Macaca mulatta: one gene and its partner. The protein of the gene in region 2 purifies or fractionates together with the protein of the main gene of each other region. This does not show direct contact. Links are inferred from orthologs where the notes say so. Each region holds a gene or a part of one and is shown on either strand. Other genes may lie near its edges.

Region 1 (9,760 bases), on a different chromosome or scaffold from region 2:
CCCTACATTAGACTTTAAGTTCATTAACAGTAAAAAATGAATTCATTAATTTCCATGTCTTCATAGGACTTAGCAGCTTACAGCTAGATGGTAGGAGCTAAACAAGTAGTTGTTGGTTTACATGGGCAAATAAGTGACAGAATTAAAACCTTTTGTAAACCTTTCTTCTGCCAGGTACAGTAACTCATGCCTATAATCCCAGCACTTTGCGAGGCTGAGGTGGGAAGATTGCTTGAATTCAGGAGCTCAGCCTGGACAACATAGCGAGACTCCATCTCTAAAACAGAGTAAAATAAAAAATAGAAAACTTTTCTGGCTGAGCGCAGTGGCTCACGCCTGTAATCCCAGCACTTTGGGAGGCTGAGGTGGGTAGATCACCTGAGGTCAGGAGCTCAAGACCAGCCTGACCAACATGGAGAAACCCCATCTCTATTAAAAATATAAAATTAGTTGGGCGTGGTGGCCCTTGCCTGTAATCCCAGATACTTGGGAGGCTGAGGCAGGAGAATTGCTTGAAGCCAGGAGGTGGAGGTTGCAGTGAGCCGAGATCATGCCCGTTGCACTCCAGCATGGGCAACAAGAGCGAAACTCCATCTCAAAAAAAAAAAAAAACACAAATTAGCCAGGTGTGGTGGCACATGCCTGTAATCCTAGCTGCGTGGGAGGCTGAGGCATGAGAACTGCTTGAACCTGCAAGCCAGAGGTTGCAATGAGCCAAGATCACACCACTGCACTCCAGCCTGGGTGAATGAGCAAGACTCCATTTAAAAAAAAACAAAAAAAACCTTTTCTTCATCTAATACTATACCCAAACTGATTCTTGTGCCTTGTCTTCCAGTCTGGTTTAGAAATATATGATAGGCAGTGGCTCATGTCTATAATCCCAGCACTTTGGGTGGCCAAAGTGGGGTGGTATTGCTTGAGGTTAGGGGTTCAAGACCAGCTTGGACAACATGGCGAGACCCCCGTCTCTACAAAATAAAGTAAAATAAATTAACTGGGTGTGGTGGCATGTACCTGTAATCCCAGCTACTTGGGAGGCTGAGGTTGAAGGCTCAAGGCTCAAGGGAGCACTTGAGCCTAAGAGTTGCAGGCTGCAGTGAGCCATGATCATGCGTGTGCCACTGTACTCCAGCCTGGGCAAGAGTGAGACCTTGTCTCAAAAGAAAATAAAAAAAGGAAATACATGAGAATTGACTCCCAAATACCTCTCTTTTATACCAATTTAATACTGTGAGTTGCCGTAATGCTCAATTTCCAAATCTGACTTTTCGCTCCCCTCATCAATCCAGTCTAAGGGAAGCCTGGAGATAACAGAGAGCCAGTCTGCAGATGCTGAACCTCCACCTCCTCCTAAGCCAGACCTGAGCCGTTACACGGGGCTGCGAACACACCTCGGCCTGGCTACTAATGAGGGTAAGGGCTGCCTTGATTTGTAAGATACTAGAACTAGGGGCAGGATTGAGAAGGTTATGAGCTTTAGAGGACATGCGAGGGCTGGGAGATATTACTTGTGTTGTGACTTTAAATACCCAACAGTTGGTACTTGTGCCACTTTGCAACTGGAAGAGAAGAGATGCCATTTAGCTATTGGCAGTGAATGGGACTTTTGCCGGGAAAATGGTCAGCCTCTAGGCAGACCAGAGAACATCATAGGACCTTTTTGGTGCATTTATCCACCCTGAGTTCTGAGCTGGTTTGAGTCTTTAGTCTTGATTTCAGCGAAGGGTATATCCCTACCTTGTCCTCTACCTGTACTTAAGGAACCCTAGGCAGATAAAGTGAACCACTCATAGGCTAGACACAGTGGCTCACACCTGTGATCCCAGCACTTTGGGAGGCCAATGCAGGAGGATTGCTTGAGCCCAGGAGTTTAAGACCACCCTGGACAACATAGCAAGGCTGTCTCTACAAAAAATAAAAAAAAATTAGCTGGGCATGGTGGCATATGCCTGCAGTCCAGCTACTCAGGAGGCTGAGGTGGGAGCCCAGGAGTTCAAGGCTCCAGTGAGCTATAATTGTGCCACTTGCACTCCAGCGTGGACAGCAGAATGAGACCCTGTCTCTTAAACCAAAACACCGCTTGTAAAGTAGTGCCCCCTTGGCCTTTTTTCTTGCAGATAGCAGCTTACTGGGCAAGGACAGCCCTCCGACACCTACCATGTACAAGTATCGGCCGGGTTACAGTAGCAGCAGTACATCAGCTGCCATGCCGCATTCCTCCAGCGCCAAGGTACTGAGTACTCTAAGAGGTGGGGTAATAACATGCCAACTGACAGGACATGGTGGCCCATTCCTATAATCCCAGCACTTTGGGAGGCCAAGGTGGGCGGATCACAAGGTCAAGAGATTGAGACCGTCCTGGCCAACGTGGTGAAACTTCTTCTCTACTGAAAATACAAAAATTAGGCCAGGCGTGGTGGATCACAAGGTCAGGAGTTCGAGACCAGCCTGGCCAATATGGTGAAACCCCATCTCTACTAAAAATACAAAAATTGCGGGATGCAGTGGCTCACGCCTGTAATCCCAGCACTTTGGGAGGCCAAGGCAGGCGAATCACGAGGTCAGGAGATCAAGATGATCCTGGCTAACACAGTGAAACGCTGTCTCTACTAAAAATACAAAAAAATTAGTCAGGCGTGGAGGCTGAGCCAGGAGAATGGCGTGAACCCGGGAGGCGGAGCTTGCAGTTAGCTGAGATTGCGCCACTGCACTCCAGCCTGAGACCTCGTCTCAAAAAAAATGAATAAATACAAAAATTAGCTGGGCGTGGTAGTGGTGGGGCACCTGTAATCCCAGCTACTCAGGAGGCTGAGGCAGGAGAATCGCTTGAATCTGGGAGGTAGAGGTTGCAGTCAGCCGAGATTGCGCCACTGCACTCCAGTCTGGGCGACAGAGTGAGACTCCGTCTCAAACAAACAAAAAAAATTAGCTGGATGTGGTGGTATGCACCTGTAGTCCCAGCTACTCAGGAGGCTGCAGTGAGCCGGAGATCCCACTGTTGGATTCCAGTCTGGTGACAGAGTGAGACTCCACCTCAAAAAAAAAAAATTAAAAAAAGAAGGTCAAGCATGGTGGCTCAAGCCTGTAATCCCAGCACCTTGGGAGGCCGAGGTGGGCAGACCACCTGAGGTCAGGAGCAAAAGACCAGCCTGGCCAACATGGTGAAACCCTATCTCTACTAAAAACACCTATCTCTACTAAAAATACAAAAATCAGCTGGGCGTGGTGGCGGGCGCCTGTAATCCCAGCTGAGGCAGGAGAATCGTTTGAACCTGGGAGGCTGAGGTTGAAGTGAGCCAAGATTGTGCTATCACACTCCAGACTGGGCGACAGGGTGAGACTCTGCCTCAAATACACACACACATACACACAAAACACATGCCAGCTGTTCTGGGAAAAAAAGATTAGGGGAAGGGAAGAGAAGAAAACAAAGTACATTTCACTAATTGTTGGCATTCGTGGAACTGAATCTCCTTGATACTGTGTCCTTCATCAGACTGGGCAATATAGCATAATAGATTAGTGCTTGATCTGAGTTTATAACCCAGTTCTGCCCATGGGCGAGATACTTAACCTTTGTATGCCTTGCTTTCTGTATCTGAAAATGAGATATTTGTTTGAATTCAGTTTTTCTTGAGGGATTAACCCACATAATGCATGTAAGAGTTCTAAGCATATTATTGGCACATAATACTCTTTTTGACCAACTCCTTGGGCTCCGGGGTCTAGCTTGTCACAAGAGGAGCACTAAGAGCCTGCTTTACTTTCTTCCTTAGTTGAGTCGTGGGGACAGCTTGAAGGAGCCAACCTCAATTGCAGAGAGCAGCCGTCATCCCAGCTACCGCTCAGAGCCCAGCTTGGAACCAGAGAGCTTCCGTTCTCCTACCTTTGGCAAAAGTTTTCACTTCGATCCACTATCCAGTGGCTCACGCTCCTCCAGCCTCAAGTCAGCCCAGGGCACAGGCTTTGAGCTGGGCCAGTTGCAATCCATTCGTTCAGAGGGCACCACCTCCACCTCCTATAAGAGCCTGGCCAACCAGACACGCAATGGAAGCCTATCTTATGACAGCTTGCTCACACCTTCAGACAGCCCTGATTTTGAGTCAGTGCAGGCAGGGCCTGAGCCAGACCCACCTTTAGGCTATACCTCTCCCTTCCTGTCAGCCAGGCTGGCCCAGCAACGGGAAGCTGAGAGACACCCACGTTTGGTGCCAACTGGCCCAACACACCGAGAGCCCTCACCAGTCCGTTACGACAATCTGTCGCGCCACATTGTGGCCTCCCTCCAGGAACGAGAGAAGTTGCTGCGCCAGTCACCCCCACTCCCAGGCCGTGAGGAGGAACCAGGCTTGGGGGACTCAGGCATTCAGTCAACACCAGGCTCAGGCCATGCCCCTCGTACTAGTTCCTCCTCAGATGATTCAAAGAGATCACCTTTGGGCAAGACTCCACTGGGACGCCCAGCTGCCCCCCGTTTTGGCAAGCCAGATGGGCTAAGGGGCCGGGGAGTAGGGTCCCCTGAACCAGGCCCAACGGCCTCATACCTGGGCCGATCGATGTCTTACAGCAGCCAGAAAGCCCAACCTGGTGTCTCTGAGACAGAAGAAGTGGCCTTGCAGCCATTACTGACACCCAAGTAAGTATTAGTACTATCCTGACCCTTAGCCATTTCAAATTGGCATACTGCTCTGCAAAAGCCATCAGGGCTTCTGTTGTACATCCTAATGTAGGTGGACCCAGGGGTATCCTGGTAGCTCTTTATTTTCACTTTGACTCCACCTGCCTTCATGGGCAATTCCTGTTAAGAGACTGAAGATTAATACTTTTTCCATAATCCTATCTTCCTAAAAGTATTTGCCTGGGAGTAAGTACATGTTATAGCTGTTACTAGAGAGTAGCAGTAGGGCCGGGCGCGGTGGCTCAAGCCTGTAATCCCAGCACTTTGGGAGGCCGAGATGGGCGGATCACGAGGTCAGGAGATCGAGATCATCCTGGCTAACACGGTGAAACCCCGTCTCTACTAAAAAATACAAAAAACTAGCCGGGCGAGGTGGCAGGCGCCTGTAGTCCCGGCTACTCGGGAGGCTGAGGCAGGAGAATGGCGTAAAAAAAACCCGGGAGGCGGAGCTTGCAGTGAGCTGAGATCCGGCCACCGCACTCCACCCTGGGTGACACAGCGAGACTCCGTCTCAAAAAAAAAAAAAAAAAAAGAGAGTAGCAGTAAATAGGAGAGATTGGGAATCAGGCTTATTTTAAGCAGGGCAATAAAGGGGGACGTTTGGGTAAGAAAGTATGGATATAGAAAAGAACACCAATTTTTTCTTTGAACCTTTGAAACTGTCTCCCTTTCCAATGTTTTGTGTACCATTTCCTGACACCTGTCTCGTCTCTTCTTTCCAGAGATGAAGTACAGCTGAAGACCGCCTACAGCAAATCCAATGGGCAGCCCAAGAGTTTAGGCTCAGCCTCCCCTGGCCCAGGCCAGCCATCTCTCAGTAGCCCCACGAGGGGAGGAGTCAAGAAGGTGTCAGGGGTTGGTGGTACCACCTATGAGATTTCGGTGTGAGCCTTCGGCGCCTCCCCTCCCCAACGCCTCTGCGCCTACACCAAAGGGCCCCAGGTGGCCACCTTCCTTCCCTCAAGGGGCTCCCCTCCCCTGCATGGACATTTTTTAAACCACCAATTCCAAGAGGATGAGGAGCGTTTTCTAAAATGCAGTGGGCTTGGGGAGTCGGAGAGTTGGGGCCCTGAGACTGGGGTAGCAACCCCCTCCTCTTATCTTTTAAGACCTTCCCTTCCTTGATCCCTGGACCAGACTCAGTGGACATTTGTGCAATTGCTCGCCCTGGAGGGAACCAGATCATTTTTAAACCAGAAATAATTTTTTTTATTATTGTTACGGATTCTATTTTTTTCCTCTTCTGCGTTACCAGGTGTGTGTGTACATATAATATATATATATATATATTATAAATATCAAAGAAATTATATATCTATCCTGGGATGGGAAAATGAGGGAGGGATACATATATGGAGGGGGATCTTACTCTTCCCATTCCTCAGACCAGCAGGAAAAGAGGGGAGACGTCAGTCTTTTCCCTGTGGTTCCCTCTCATTTGTTCCAGTTACTAAGGAAATAGCATCCTCTGTTGGTGCTAAGTGTGATTAGGAAGAAGCCTGGGGAGAGGCGAGTCTGGGATTTTGGTCACAAGAGGGAGGGACTTGGAGAGGAGAATTAGTTTTCTAGGCTCATTGGCATTTAGTTTCCCTAGGAAAGGGGTCAAAACTTCAAGACACTGGTGGTGGGGGGAGATCAGGAAAATAACTTGGCCTAGCTCAAACAATACTGGATAATCCCCTCCTTGGGGGAGAGGGATTAGAGTGGGCTCCTTCTACTAGCCCCTTGGAGCCTCCCCTAGCTTACACGGTTAACTTGATTTTAAAATCCAAGGCCAGGAGAGAAGAATCCAAAAAGCAATATTTTTCATCACATGCCAAAAACGGGGGATAGAGAGAAGGAGTGGCAGGCCTAGGCCCCTCCAATTGTCCCTTGGGGGTTACCCCTCAGCCCACCTCACTATGGTGCTGGGTAGAGGGGATACCTGGGTTCTAACCTCTAAATAGGGGAGATCCCAGCCTCCACAAAGAGGCCCTTTTATTTTTTATTCTGATTAGCCATTTTAAACCAACGAGGAATAAAAAGAAATCCTGATCTAACCAGCGCCCCCTGACTTGTGTTATTTTGTCTGGTTGAGACAAGGTGAACGATTTCTGGTGGGAAGTTACCACAGTGACAAACTCATAAGCTTCTCTGGTCCCAGCCCTTCTTTAGGCAAGACTATAATGAAATTAGCCACTTAAAACAACTACTACTAAAAAAATAGAGACCGAGTGTGGTGGCTCATGCCTGTAATCCCAGCACTGAGGGAGGCTGAGGCAGGAGGATCACATGAACCCAGGAGTTCCAGGCCAACCTTGGCAACATAGAGACTCAATTTCTAAAAACAACAGGTCCTGTTTTTATTTGGGTAATTTAATTTAAAAATACCTGGAAAAAAAGTCTCTTGAAACCACCAAAGCTGTTATTTGAAAGCTTAGAGAACTCTTAAAAATTGTTTCTTTCTTCTTTTAAGAGACAGGGCCTCATTCTGGTTGCTTAGGCTGGAGGGCAGTGGCACAATCAGATCACTATACCCTCAAACTCCTGGCCTCAAGGGTCTTCCCACCTCAACCTTCTGAGAAGCTAGGACTTACAGCGGCATGCCACCATGCTTATTTTTTTTTTTTTCAGTAGAAATAGGCTCTCGACCAATTTTGCCCAGGCTGGTCTCGAACTTCTGGCCTTGAGCAGTCCTGCCTTGGCCTCCCAAAGCGCTGGGATTACAGGCATGAGCCACCATGCCCAGCTACAGCTGTTTTTTTTTTTTTTGGGAGTCTTGCTCAGTTGCCCAGGCTGGAGTACAGTGGCGTGATCTCGGCTCACTGCAAGCTCCGCCTCCCAGGTTCACACCATTCTCCTGCCTCAGCCTCCCAAGCAGCTGGGACTACAGGCGCCCGCCGCCAAGCCTGTCTAATTTTTTGCATTTTTGGTAGAGACGGGGTTTCACTGTGTTAGCCAGGATGGTCTCACTCTCCTGATCTCGTGATCCACCCGCCTCCGCCTCCCAAAGTGCTGGGATTACAGGCGTGAACCACTGCACCGTGCCCGGCCTACAGTTGTTTTTTTAATACAGGATTTAGTCTCTGGAAAGTAAAGCTAATTTTGGAAACAGCCAAAGGTGAGATAGATACGAAAGCCTGTTGAAAGCAGGTTAACTAGATACTGGTGTCAGTTCAATTAGATAGACTGTCTTCTATTGGACAAAAGCTGTGCTCTTAATTTTCAGTAGGTATCCTTAGATGCTAAATCTCCAGCAGTTGGCCAGAACCCTTTAATTACTCAAAATGTAAGAATATAAACTCTTCGGTGCGGTGGCTCACGCCTGTAATCCCAGCACTTTGGGAGGCTGAGGTGGGTAGATCACTTGAGGTCAGGAGTTCAAGACCAGCCTGGACAACATGGTGAAACCCCATCTGTACTAAAAATGCAAAAATGAGCTGGGCATTGGTCATGGGTACCTATAATCCTGGCTATTTGGGAGGCTGAGGTGGGAGAATCACTTGAACCCAGGAGGCACAGGTTGCAGTGAGCTGAGATTGCACTACTGCACCCTAGCGTGGGCAACAGAGCAAGACTCTGTCTCCAAAATTAATTAAAAAAAAAAAAAAAAAAAATATATATATATATATATATATATATATATATATAAACAAAAATTAGCCAGGCCTGGTGGCACGCACTTGTAGTCCCAGCCACTTGGGAGGCTGAGGTACAAGAATCACTTGAACCCAGAAGGTAGAGGTTGCAGTGAGCCGAGATCACGCCACTGCATTCCTGTGTAACAGAGTGAGACTCTGTCCAAAAAAAAAAAACACCCCAGCAAACTCTTATTCTGAAATCTGGATTTAAACCAGTTGAATGAGTGGTTTTCCACCCACTGATTGAGGAACAAACTTGGCTTTCACAGCAACAGATTTTAACTGTGTGTTAAATTTAAAGTCAGGTTACATTAATTCAGGTTTTCTCATGGATGTTTTCAGTTACCTAACCAGCTGGAAAAACTAAAGGTTTTTTTTTTTTAAACATTTTGATAGGTTAGGTTACATTTTGTTGCTGTTTTAGAAATGTTTTCACATCAGCTAACTAACTTTATTGTCTTAACTAAGGAGTGAAGCAGGTCAAAAGTTATTGTAAAGAGAAGAGAAGCATTTACCTTTGCTTGCCAGAAGTTCATTTCAAAAGATCACAGGCTTCTGACCTAAGAAACCAATCTTGTTGAAATACATGGGTGACTGTCCATGTGTTTTCAGTTGGCTATTCTGTTTCAACACAAAATTGACCTAGAATACACTGTTGAGCCCTACCTGGATCAGCTCTTCAGATGGAGCCTGAGATCACCCAGGCGCCTGGTTCTTAACATAACGGGCAGAGTGTTCTGTGTCTGCTGTGGAGTATTAGTAAGCTTGGGTCATTTTTCATTTTGGTTGGTTCCCTGCATAATGTAACAACAAGACCCAAATCCCCTCAAGTCTTAGCAATGCCTTGTCTTAAATCCTGACTCACAGAACATACCTCTTAACAGCAGTCACACTTCAGCCAATTTGATAAATGTAATTTTTTTTTTTTAAGAAAAAACAGAACAAGTCCTAAATCAGACAAATTGCACAACAGAGAGAGAAGAAAACTGTAAGCTTCCTGGGAGATGTCCATGAGAAAACCAACTGGGATGAGCCTACAAAAGCATGTCCCTCTCTCTCCTAATGTACTTAGTCTCAACTGAGCCCAACAGGAGCTGGTCTCTGTCCCAGCTGCAGGATGCTCCCAAGGCAGTGTCCAAGAGCCTGGAAGGCAGCTTTTGTCAGCAGGTTCAGTACAGCAGGAAAAGCCATCCTGGCAAAGAGTCCAGTGGTCCTGTTAGCGTAGGCTGCTGCTGCTGCTGGCTTGGGAGCTGCCCATACCTGGGTGGTCTGGACTATGCCGGTTCTGGGAGAGAAAGAAGGAGGGGTAAGAACAACTAGGAACTAGCCTTGGCTTTGATCAGGCTGTACAGGAGAAACCTGTAACCTGCCTTGGGTTTTCAATCGTGGGTCCAACTTGAGGCAAAGAACTCTTTAGGGTATTTAGGACAGGGGTGAGATCTAGGGAAAATCACTGGGT
Region 2 (10,654 bases):
TTTTTAATAAACTTTAGTAACATTGATATGCACTTGGGTATCAGTTCAGAAAGAAAACAATCAGTTTTCCTTTTTGTATAAGCTCTAAATCTTCTTATACTATTGTGGTGAAGGCAACACTCTCCTAAATAAGATGCTTTAAAACTCTTAGTCTCAAAATAAAAATAAAATAAAAATTAAAACAAACAAACGATAAAAGTCTTAGTCTCTTTAATAGCGGAAAAGCATTAATATGTGTAAACTCATACCACAATCTCAGAAAGGACAAAGCGCCATTCTCACCCCCAAGAAATCATATGTTGACATTTTATTCACACTTTATTATTTTTGGTAAATCAATGTCAAAGTAAACCATAATATTTAACAAAGTTATCTGTCACTCTCAAATCCTCAACAAAACTTCAATTTGTATAATATTTACAAAGTGAAACACAATCAAATCTTGGAAAAAACTACTGTCTTCCCTGAGGATATTCAACTGGAGAAAGCCTTCCAGCCCTTCAAGAAAAATAGCCTGATTGAGGCTAAGTAACACCACATCTTACTGTTTTCAGAACATATCCAAGTTCTCTCCTGTGTTCCTTCTAGACATTCTGCACATGGGCAGAAGGGATGTTTTCTAGTTCATGAACAAGGCAGAGAGATACTGAGAGGAGAACGTTCCACGAGCCCATTTGTTCCCTAATTATCATGGGTAGCAACAATAGAGAAGTAACACTGAAGTCTTTATCTTCATTTTAAATCAATAAATAGCACATTATAGGGAAAAATGCATGATTGTTCTAGTGAGTTTTAAAAGGCCTATTTACAATTTCAAAACATTTAACACACATGACAAAGTATAAGCACTGTTATATTTGGCTTACTGTTTGTAGACTAGGAATTTCGGTGTTTAAAACAATAGAGACTAAATGACTCAACCCCGTCCTTTCGTAAGTAGAAAATAATAGCACAAAAATTCCTGAGAGACAAACTGGGAAAGGGAGAGGGCAACTGTGCTTACATTTTAATCATTTTATCAAAACACAAATACACACTTCTATTAAAAGTATAGGTATATCATATCTTAACTATGATCATTCCAGTTATTAATTTTGCACAATCTAGTTATCCGTGTTCACTTTCTACAAAATATCACCTATTTTTAAAATGTGGCCATGCCTTAAATTTGGTTTCTGGATTGATTTTACTTGGTCTTTACTTGCTTTATAACATTTGCTTTATAAAAAGAAAAGGGCCTTGCTTAGACCTATAAAATAGGACCTTACACAATGTCTACAAATCCAAGCTAAAACACATATTGGGATCAACCAATTTCCATTGAATTTCTGGTATCAAGGACCATCTTCCAAGATTTCATAATTGGAAGGATTTTAATTGAGAGCTAAGTATTTTCAGCACCCAAATAAACTAGCAGCTGACTAAAAGATCACTTATACTTGAAAATAAAAAATCATATGTGAGTTCACAAATATCTGATTAAAACTTACATAGGTAACTTCATTAAAATCTATCTTGGCTGGCCACAATGGCTCATGCCTGTAGCCCTCGCACTTTGGGAGGACGAGATGGGAGGATCACTTGAGGCCAGGAGTGCAAAACCAGCCTAGCCAACATAGTGAGACCCCATCTCTAGTTTTTTTTTTTTTTTTAAAAAAGTAATAAAGGCTGGGTGCTGGGTGCAGTGGCTCACGCCTGCAATCTTAGAACTTTGGGGGGCCAACGCAGGTGGATTACTTGAGGCCAGGAGTTCGAGACCAGCCTGGTCAACGTGGTGAAACTTCATCTCTACTGGCACAAGAATCACTTGAACCCAGGAGGTGGAGGAGTGGGATCACACCACTGCATTCCAGCCCGGGCGACAGAGTGAGACTCTGTCTCAATAATAAAAAAAAAAGAAAAAAAGAAAAAAAATCGACCTCAAGAAAACACTGTTTATTAAGCACTAACCACATGTGAAGAAAATTATGAATTCTAATATCCATATTACAGTTGAGAGAATTCAGAGAGATTAATTTGTCCAAGATCTCATAATTCGTATAAACTGACTAGCACCCAATTACCAATTTCTTTTTACAAATGACATCAGTACTTCTATTTCAGCAAATATACTTTGACAAATACAATTAAAATTTTATCAACAAATGTAATGACAACTCAAGCCTTTTAATATTTCACTAAGCATGAATAAAATACTCAAGAGATGTGCTTCTACCTTAAATTAGCAATATTATGGACTTCTGTAAATAGCCATTCTGGATGATAAAGTTTCTACCCATATGAATTCAGCTTTACCCAACCCTCCTACATTCATGCCGACTATCAACATATCCCTTGGAGCTGGTCACCTCTTTGCACCTCCCCTGCTCCCTTCCTAGTCCAGGCTATCTCACTCTTGCCTGGACTTCTGTGGAACTTCCTCACTTGTTTCCCTACTTCTATTCTTATGCCTTTTTTCCACAAAGCAAAGAGATCTCTTTAAAATGAAAATCTTGCTGGGCACAGCAGCTCATCCCTTTAATCCCAATACTCTGAGAGGCTGAGGTGGGAGGATCGCTTGAGCCCAGGAGTTCGAGACCAGTGTGGACAACACAGTGAGACCCTGTTTCTATTACAAAAATAAATAAAATGAAAATCTGATCACATCACTCTCTTAATACTTTGAGTAGCTTCCCACTTGCACTAAAAATAAAATCTATACTTCGTTCCATGAACTAGGCACTCCAAGCTACAGCTCCTGCTTACCTCTCCAAATCCACCTCCCATCATTCTCTGCCCCTCCTCTCCTGTGCATCACCTTCTCTCAGTTCTCAGGGTCCATCAAGCTCTCTGGGCCTTTGTGTATGTTCATCTTTCTGCCTTAATGCCCCAGGCTTTTCATCCTTCATGCAACAGCTTAAATGTCACCACCTCAGAGGCCTCTTTTGACCATACACCCTGGATTAGGTCCTGCCTATTATTTTCTACCACAGGCCAGTTTGTTTCCTTTAAGGCACTTATCATAATGTGTAATTTTGTTGTCTTTGTTCCCTTGTTATTATCAGCTGTCACCACTTAATTATGAACTCCACAAGGTCAGCAACCATGTTTGTCCTGTTCGGTTATGTGCCAGCACTTTGCTTAGCACATAGTAGGCTTTCCAATAGTTACTGAGCAAACAAATCCCCTGAGCCTTCACTCACTGAAAGTATTAGAGAGGAGATACACTGAAACAGACTGAAAGCTGACACTGAGCCTTGATAATTTCTGATTTTGAAAGTTAAACAGGAATGAAAGCTTCTCTCTGTGGTATTGATATGGAAGGGAAGAGCATGGTCCCTTCAAAAGGACACAGAAGCAGGCAGGTAGGGAAGTGCTGGGTGGAGAAGGGCGTGGTCCCTGGCTAGCACTCCACCTCCAGGCCTGTGCCCAGTAGGTGAAGACAGGCATTTTTGTTTTCCTGCCCAAAAGCTGCAAGTCCACCCTGGCCTGCCACGCCCCCATCCTGTGCCTATAAAAGCCCTGAGACCCTAGTAGGCAGGCAAACAGGCGGCTGGATGTCGAGAGGTGAACATTAGTGGAGGAACACACAGGTGGCTGGATGTCGAGAGGAACACACTGGCGTAGGAGCACACTGGCACACCGGTAGGCCATCAATTGGCAGAATCATGCAGAGTTTGGCCAGGATGGTTGGAGAAGAGTTCGGTCGTTGAGCAGCCTGACTCCAGGGGAAAACCATCTCCCTTCTGGCTCCCCCATTTGCTGAGAGCTACTTCCACTCAACAAAACCTTGCACTCATTCTCCAAGCCCACATGTGATCCGACTCTTCTGGTACACCAAGGCAAGAACTCTGGGATACAGAAAGCCCTCTGGCCTTGCGATAAGGCAGGGGTCTAACTGAGTTAACACAAGCCGCCTATGGACAGCTAAACTAAAAGAGCACCCTGTAACATATGCTCACTGGGGCTTCAGGAGCTGTAAAATATTCACCCCTAGACACTGCCGTGGGGTTGGAGCCCCACAGCCTGCCCATCTGTATGCACCCCTAGAGGTTTGAGCAGCAGGGTACTGAAGAAGCAAGTCACACCCCATCGCACACCCTGCGAGGGGGACAAGAGAACTTTTCCTGTTTCAACATGGGGAAGGATATAAATAACTATACTTAAATAGACCTGTTTATATGAGATGGAATTATAGTAACAGGATGGTAATGAAGAATACAACAGCATTTTCAGCCAACAGCTCCAAAAACTTTAGCTGCAACTATATGCACTCTCCACTACATGGAGTGTAAGACATTTCTATCAGATGGGGTATGATATATTCTTATAGCATTTCGTTTTCTGAGCACTGTCAGAATTTAGTGATATACCAGGGCTACCGTGATTAATTTACAGTCATTTATTTAACATATATTCAATGAGTGCCTGATATACCCAAGGCATGGTGTCAGGCATAAAGAGGGATACAAAATGGTTAAGGCATTGTCCTCAAGAAAAATACATACTTGAAAGGCAAATAAGACAAGAACATAAACTGCTACATTCCAAAGAAGAGTGAGGCAAGTGCCATAAAACAGATACAAATAAAATGTAGGGACACAAGAGAAGAGAAAGAATTCTGACTAAAATAGAGAAAAAGTTAGATGAAAGTGACACCCAAGGGACTGGTGGGATTTGAACCTGGGAAGATAGCATTCCAGGTGGAGAACCACAGTGGGTATGTTTGCTGACCAGTGAGGGATGGAGTTTGGCTGAGGGAGAAAGTGAAGGAAGGAATGGGAGGCAGCGCTGGAAAGGTAAGCTGCGGTCAGCTTGAGCAGGGCCTTGAACTTTACTCAGTGGTAAAACATGGGAAGCCAGGGAAGGTCTCTGACTTGGCAGAAGCAGTAAGGGAAGTAAATCTGTGTTTTATAAAAACAGCAGCAGATAATTTAGAAAAGCAAAAGGAGGGAAGAAATGAGACAAGTCACACTATTTCAATAGTCTAGGAGAGACAGAATAAGGGCATAACCTAGGATAGAGGCAGAGGAAATCACAAAAAGTGAATGACTGTGAAAATGAAAGATATTTCAGTCTTTGAAAACAGATTAATTTTTCCCTCTTCTTCATCCCTCATGCCCAAAGATGGTATTGAAAAGACAGGGGTGCTACTGACAAAATGGGGAGGTGGGAGGTTTGACTTCTGGTCATCTTAAGTTGGGAAATAAGCAATTCAGGAGCTAGCAGCCAACTGGGAAGAGAAGGTAAGAACTCAGGTGGGAGAAGAGAGTGACATTTAGGGAAATAAAGTAAAAACATTCCCAGAAAGCTGAGTAGGAAGAGAACATAAAGATTTTCTACATTCTTCTTAAGTGTAGGCCAGTCTGAACATTGACACGTCAACTGCAAGTGGACATACCAACTGTAACCTGTTTTGAAAGACTCAGGACTATGTGCCTCTGTACATCGGAACACAATTTGAATGATAAATGCCCCTAAATATTTTATGGCAACTATCACCGTGTAAGCATTCATGTGTAATAAGCTTGCCTTCTTCATGATTTTAAGAGATTTTTGTGAAAACAAAAGTAGCGTTACCTTCTCATAATGAGTTTCCATGCATAGGAAGATGGTATATGCTGTTAAACAAGCCAAACAACCTTCGAGATATGATTGGCCGCCAAGCTTCTCTGCTTCTGCATAAAGGTTATTTAGAGTTCGAACTGTTTCTTCAAACTGCTGCCTATCAATCTGTAGAGAAGAAAAGAATTTAAAAATAAGTTTTGGAAAAAAAAAATCAACTTACTAATGCATGCTATCAATAATGTATCTTGTTTTGTCACCATTCTTAGCCACTAGTTGACAATTTTTTTGGTGATTAAATCTGGGCCTAAGTTACCAAAACTGCTTAGTTTGTCTAATTTTATCCCTCTATAAATACTGGATAGCTTCAAGGCTCAATAAGGTACTTCTTTATTCTTTCTACTAAATTTCAAGTAACTCTAGACTTTGTTCCTCTTTCCATTCATTTAGATTCACAAATATTTACTGAGCACCTACTATCAGATACTATGAAAAACCTCAAGATACAGCACTGTCTCAATCCTCAAGAGTTTCATTATGCAAGCAGAGCAGGTATGTAAACATAAAAATGCAAAAAGCTGGCCGGGCGCGGTGGCTCACACCTGTAATCCCAGCACCTTGGGAGGCCGAGGCATGCAGATCACGAGGTCAGGAGATCGAGACCATCCTGGCTAACATGGTGAAACCCTGTCTCTACTAAAAATACAAAAAAAATTAGTCGGCCATGGTGGCGGGTGCCTGTAGTCCCAGCTACTGGGGAGGCTGAGGCAGGAGAATGGCATGAACCTGGGAGGCGGAGCTTGCAGTGAGCTGAGATCGCGCCACTGCACTCCAGCCTGGGCGACAGAGCGGGACTCCGTCTCAAAGAAAAAAAAAATGCAGTAAGCTGACAGGGTACTATCATATAGGCAAATATAAAGTCTAGTGGGGCACAAAAGCAAGGAGATATTCCCTTTATCTGGGAAGGGCAGGTAATCTTAAATTGAGTAAGTAAACACTGGAATTTACTAGGCAAGAAAAAAGTGACATTTTAGCAGAAGGATCAAAAGGCGTAGGTTCTATATTCTGTTTACTCAGTCTATCTCTTTTGAAGCAATTCTCTTGTTACTAAATAAGGTAAAATTTGTTAAGGTAAAATCTCAAGCTAATACACAATTTTTCACATCAAGTCATTCATTCTTATTACCTCTCTCTATTTGGTGACACCATTATCTTAAATTTACACTAATACTACTACAGGTTGAGCATCCGTGATTTAAATTCTGAAGTCAGAAAGGCTCCAAAATCTGAAACTTTTGAGCACTGGCATGACACCACAAGTGGAAAATTCCACACCTGACCTCATGTGAGGGGTCACAGTCAAAATGCAGGTGCACAACACATAGTTTATTCAGTGTCCCCAAGGGAAAAAGACCCTTCCAGCCCCCGTCAGCTGCCATGTACCTTTTCCATGCACAGCCAGATTCTCCCATGCAAGCACGCTCACAAAAGGTGGTAAGATGGTTCAGTGTACACACACTTTGTCTCATAAAGTCATTTAAAATATTGTATAAAATTACCTTCAGGTTATACGTATAATAAGGTAGATATAAAACATAATGAATTTCATGTTCACACTTGGATCCCAACCCCAAGATATCTCATTAGTATAAACAAATATTTCAAAATCTAAAAAAACCCCCAAATCTGAAATACTTCTGGTTCTACATATTTCACATAAGAAAGAACCTGTACTGTCATCCATCGTTTCACTCCATCATCTGCTTTTACTTTATTCTCCCAATATTACTTTACTGTCTTCTAATAGTACTTTGTATAACAGATTTCAAATTTTGCTACTTCATCCTAGGATTTTCAAGGCCCATTAGGAGAGCATTCATCCAATACTGCCATTATCTGTCTGTACTCTAGGCCTTCTCTCGCATAAGGATTCCCTTATTTCTAAAATTAGTAAATACTTACATATGAATTCTCTCTTTTATGAAGTCTTTATTTAAAGACTTTTTTTGTTTGGCTTTTTTTTTTTTTTTCCTTTCCTGGTCTCTGCGAACCTATTAAGTCTTGCTTTATAATAGAAATAGACTCAGAAAAAAAAAAATTAGGCTAGAGATGAAACCTCATCTCTACTAAAACTACAAAAATTAGTAGGGAATGGTGGTGCACGCCTGTAATCCCAGCTACTCGGGAGGCTGAGGCACAAGAATCACTTGATCCTGGCACCAGAGGTTACAGTAAGCCAAGACTGCGCCACTGTACTCCAGCCTGCGTGACAGAGTGAAACTGTCTCAACAAAAAAAAAAAAAAAAAAAAAAAAAAAAAGATTGGCTAGGGTACACAATCTAGTACCCTAGACTGAGCTAGTGGCATGATGGCTCATGCCTATAATCCCAGCATTTGGGAGGCTGAGGTGGGTGGATCACTTGAGCTCAGGAGTTTGAGACCAGCATGGGCAACATGGTGAAACTCTGTCTCTACTAAAAATGCAAAAATTAGCCAGGCGTGGTGGCGCATGCCCATAGTCCCAGCTACTCAGGAGGCTGAGGTGGGAGGATTGCTGGAGCCTGGGAAGTGGAGGTTGCAGTGAACCGAGATCTCACCACGGCACTCCAGTCTGGGTGACAGAGTGAGACTCTGTCTCAAAAAAAGAAAAAAAAAAAATCCTCAACATACAGTATGAGCCCTACTATTCCCAAGAACATAATCTTTTTTTTTTTTTTTGAGACAGAGTCTCACTGTGTCACCCAGGCTGGAGTACAGTGGCACAATTTTGGCTCACTGTAACCTCTGGTGCCAGGATCAAGTGATTCTCGTGCCTCAGCCTCCCGAGTAGCTGGGATTACAGGCGTGCACCACCATTCCCTACTAATTTTTATATTTTTAGTAGAGACGAGGTTTCACCATGTTGGCCAGGCTGGTCTCAGACTCCTGGCCTCATGTGATCCACCCCCCTGTCCTCCCAAAGTGCTGGGATTACAGGCATGGGCCACCTGCACCTGGCCCCAAGAACATCATCTTTCAAAGTGTAAAAAATTCATGACCATCCTTAAGCTATGACAATTCTTTAAGTTAGAAGCAGTTGTTGTCATTGTTTTGTCCACTGTGTGGAAAATGTGAGGAGTCAATGAGCCAGTGGCATGCATGAATTTAATGTAACCTTTAAAGTGGTGTTGGCTCGACCCATTTTTCAAAAGGAGTTAAATTTCCAGGAATATTAGAGATTTGGACAAAGGCTAGGTGGGTCAAGACGGCCTTTAAGCGCAGGGGCAGTGTTTCTTCACTGAGCTACCCCTTGAAGATGTGGTGTCAAGGCTGGTCATCTGGGAAACTGTCAGAGTTCTCATTCACGAAAACAGACTGAGAAGAGCTCAGCAAACAAAAATGGTAAGCTGTTATGTTCACCTAATTATGCCTTCAGTTTGTCTACCGATAAGTCCACAAAAGTCTAAATAATTCCAATCACATTTGATGTGCTTATAAGTCATTGAATTACTTATGTTTCTTTACAATACAATTCAAAACCATGGGATTCAACCCAGAAACATCTTATTTCTTTCATATTAGAATTACTATTTATCCAGGAAACCCTAATTATTATTATTTTTTAAGTTTAGAGACAGAGTATCGCTATCTTGCCCAGACTGGTCTTGAACTCCTGGCCCCAAGTGATGCTCCTACCTCAACCTCCAGAGCAACTGGGATTACTTGGGTGCAAACCATCATGCCCAGCCAGAAACACTAATTCTTATGCGTTATTCTGAGACTACAATGCCTTATAGGATAGAGGTAAATCATATGTCAGTTAAACAAACAAATAAAAAAAAAAAAAGGTTAATAAAAAAATTTAAAAAAAGGATAAACGGTTAAAGTAAATGCCAACACATTTTTCAAAGGTTATTTTAAAAAAGGGAAATAAAGGGTAAAAATCACAGAAGGCATCAGTAAAGGCAAACAACAAACTTCACAAGAAAGGGCTCAAGAGAACAAATGTTGGCATTTGTATCTCACTACCTTTAGGTTATGAAAAACAGTGGCCAGTGTTCTCCCTTAGGTTCCTGGACACTGATACAGGAGCTCTATCAAAATTTAGATATATGAGAAGTCAGAGCCAAATAAAATTTGGACCCACAAACATCAAAAGTCAGAATGGAAAGAGAAATCAGGCTCATTTTCTCAGAATTTTTGTTTCGTGCTGAACTACATAGTAGAAAGCATGGTGAAGCCTGCAGTGATCACGTATCAAGGGTGGCAGGTCAATGGTAATTACTAACCAGAAGGGGAGACATATTTTTAAAGGGAAATAAGGGAACAAATGCCTCAATTACAGTTCACTCATTCTTCTACCCAGACCAAGGGTAACTAAGGTATCTGTATTTTGGCTAATGAGAATAAAGCTTCCTTTAAGGAACTGTTCTGGCAACAAATCGCTTAAGCATCAAAGTAGTACATTCTAAAAGCCAGCAGAGAAAATGAACTTGTTAACAGACAGAACCTATCCTACTCCCAAATTAAAGGGCACAAATGTGTATGTATTTTTTAAAAAATGCTTTAAAATAACACAGAACACTTGCATATTAGTCTCTTTCTCTATTACGTTGCCAAGTGTGATGTTCTCACAAAAAGAAAATCAGCTCCAACAGCAGAGCAATCAGTAAAATTTCTAGGGTAAGTAGTAGAGAAACAGAAACCTTTCAATTTTTCATCAAAGCAAGGAAAGTTTAAACCTGTAATTTAAATTTAATATCAACACACACACACACACACACAGACCCATACACACACAATCAAAGCTTTTCTAGTGGTTTAAAGCATAAGCTAGTGTTTTAACCCAAACATTTAAAAAGAAAAAAGAAATTCACAGGCACAATTGAATAGTGCCATGTAACATTCCATATAGTACTCAGTACCACAGGCAGTTCTGGGCTACACAGAGTCAAAGAGGTAAAAGGACTCCAGAATTTAGAAACATCAATTTCCTGAGAAGAATCAGTGGAGCACTGTAACTACATTGTGCTTTTGTACTTAGGTTACAAAATAAAGGCTCTGCCACACACAGAGTGGAAGGCTAATGTCTGATTCTGCGTACACACATTTGCTCAAATATGAGGTGTAA

What was found. Proteins that work in one complex are often made in the same cells at the same time.
Region 1: the proteins of GOLGA7 (region 2) and ZDHHC5 purify together in Homo sapiens (co-immunoprecipitation; 3 studies listed by BioGRID and IntAct, with this or other methods). This does not show direct contact. The link is inferred for Macaca mulatta from reciprocal best matches to the Homo sapiens genes GOLGA7 and ZDHHC5.

What each region holds. Positions count from the first base shown.
Region 1 is NC_133419.1:15,691,246-15,701,005, reverse strand, and holds the end of ZDHHC5 (palmitoyltransferase ZDHHC5), read left to right. Parts: intron 1-1,292; coding exon 1,293-1,416; intron 1,417-2,120; coding exon 2,121-2,233; intron 2,234-3,779; coding exon 3,780-4,639; intron 4,640-5,403; coding exon 5,404-5,569; 3' UTR 5,570-5,902; downstream 5,903-9,760. Other genes in the region: MED19 (mediator of RNA polymerase II transcription subunit 19), read right to left, coding at 9,518-9,586. UniProt on the Homo sapiens protein: Palmitoyltransferase that catalyzes the addition of palmitate onto various protein substrates such as CTNND2, CD36, GSDMD, NLRP3, NOD1, NOD2, STAT3 and S1PR1 thus plays a role in various biological processes including cell adhesion, inflammation, fatty acid uptake, bacterial sensing or cardiac functions.
Region 2 is NC_133413.1:43,565,774-43,576,427, reverse strand, and holds part of GOLGA7 (golgin subfamily A member 7), read right to left. Parts: intron 5,713-10,654; coding exon 5,560-5,712; intron 1-5,559. UniProt on the Homo sapiens protein: May be involved in protein transport from Golgi to cell surface. The ZDHHC9-GOLGA7 complex is a palmitoyltransferase specific for HRAS and NRAS.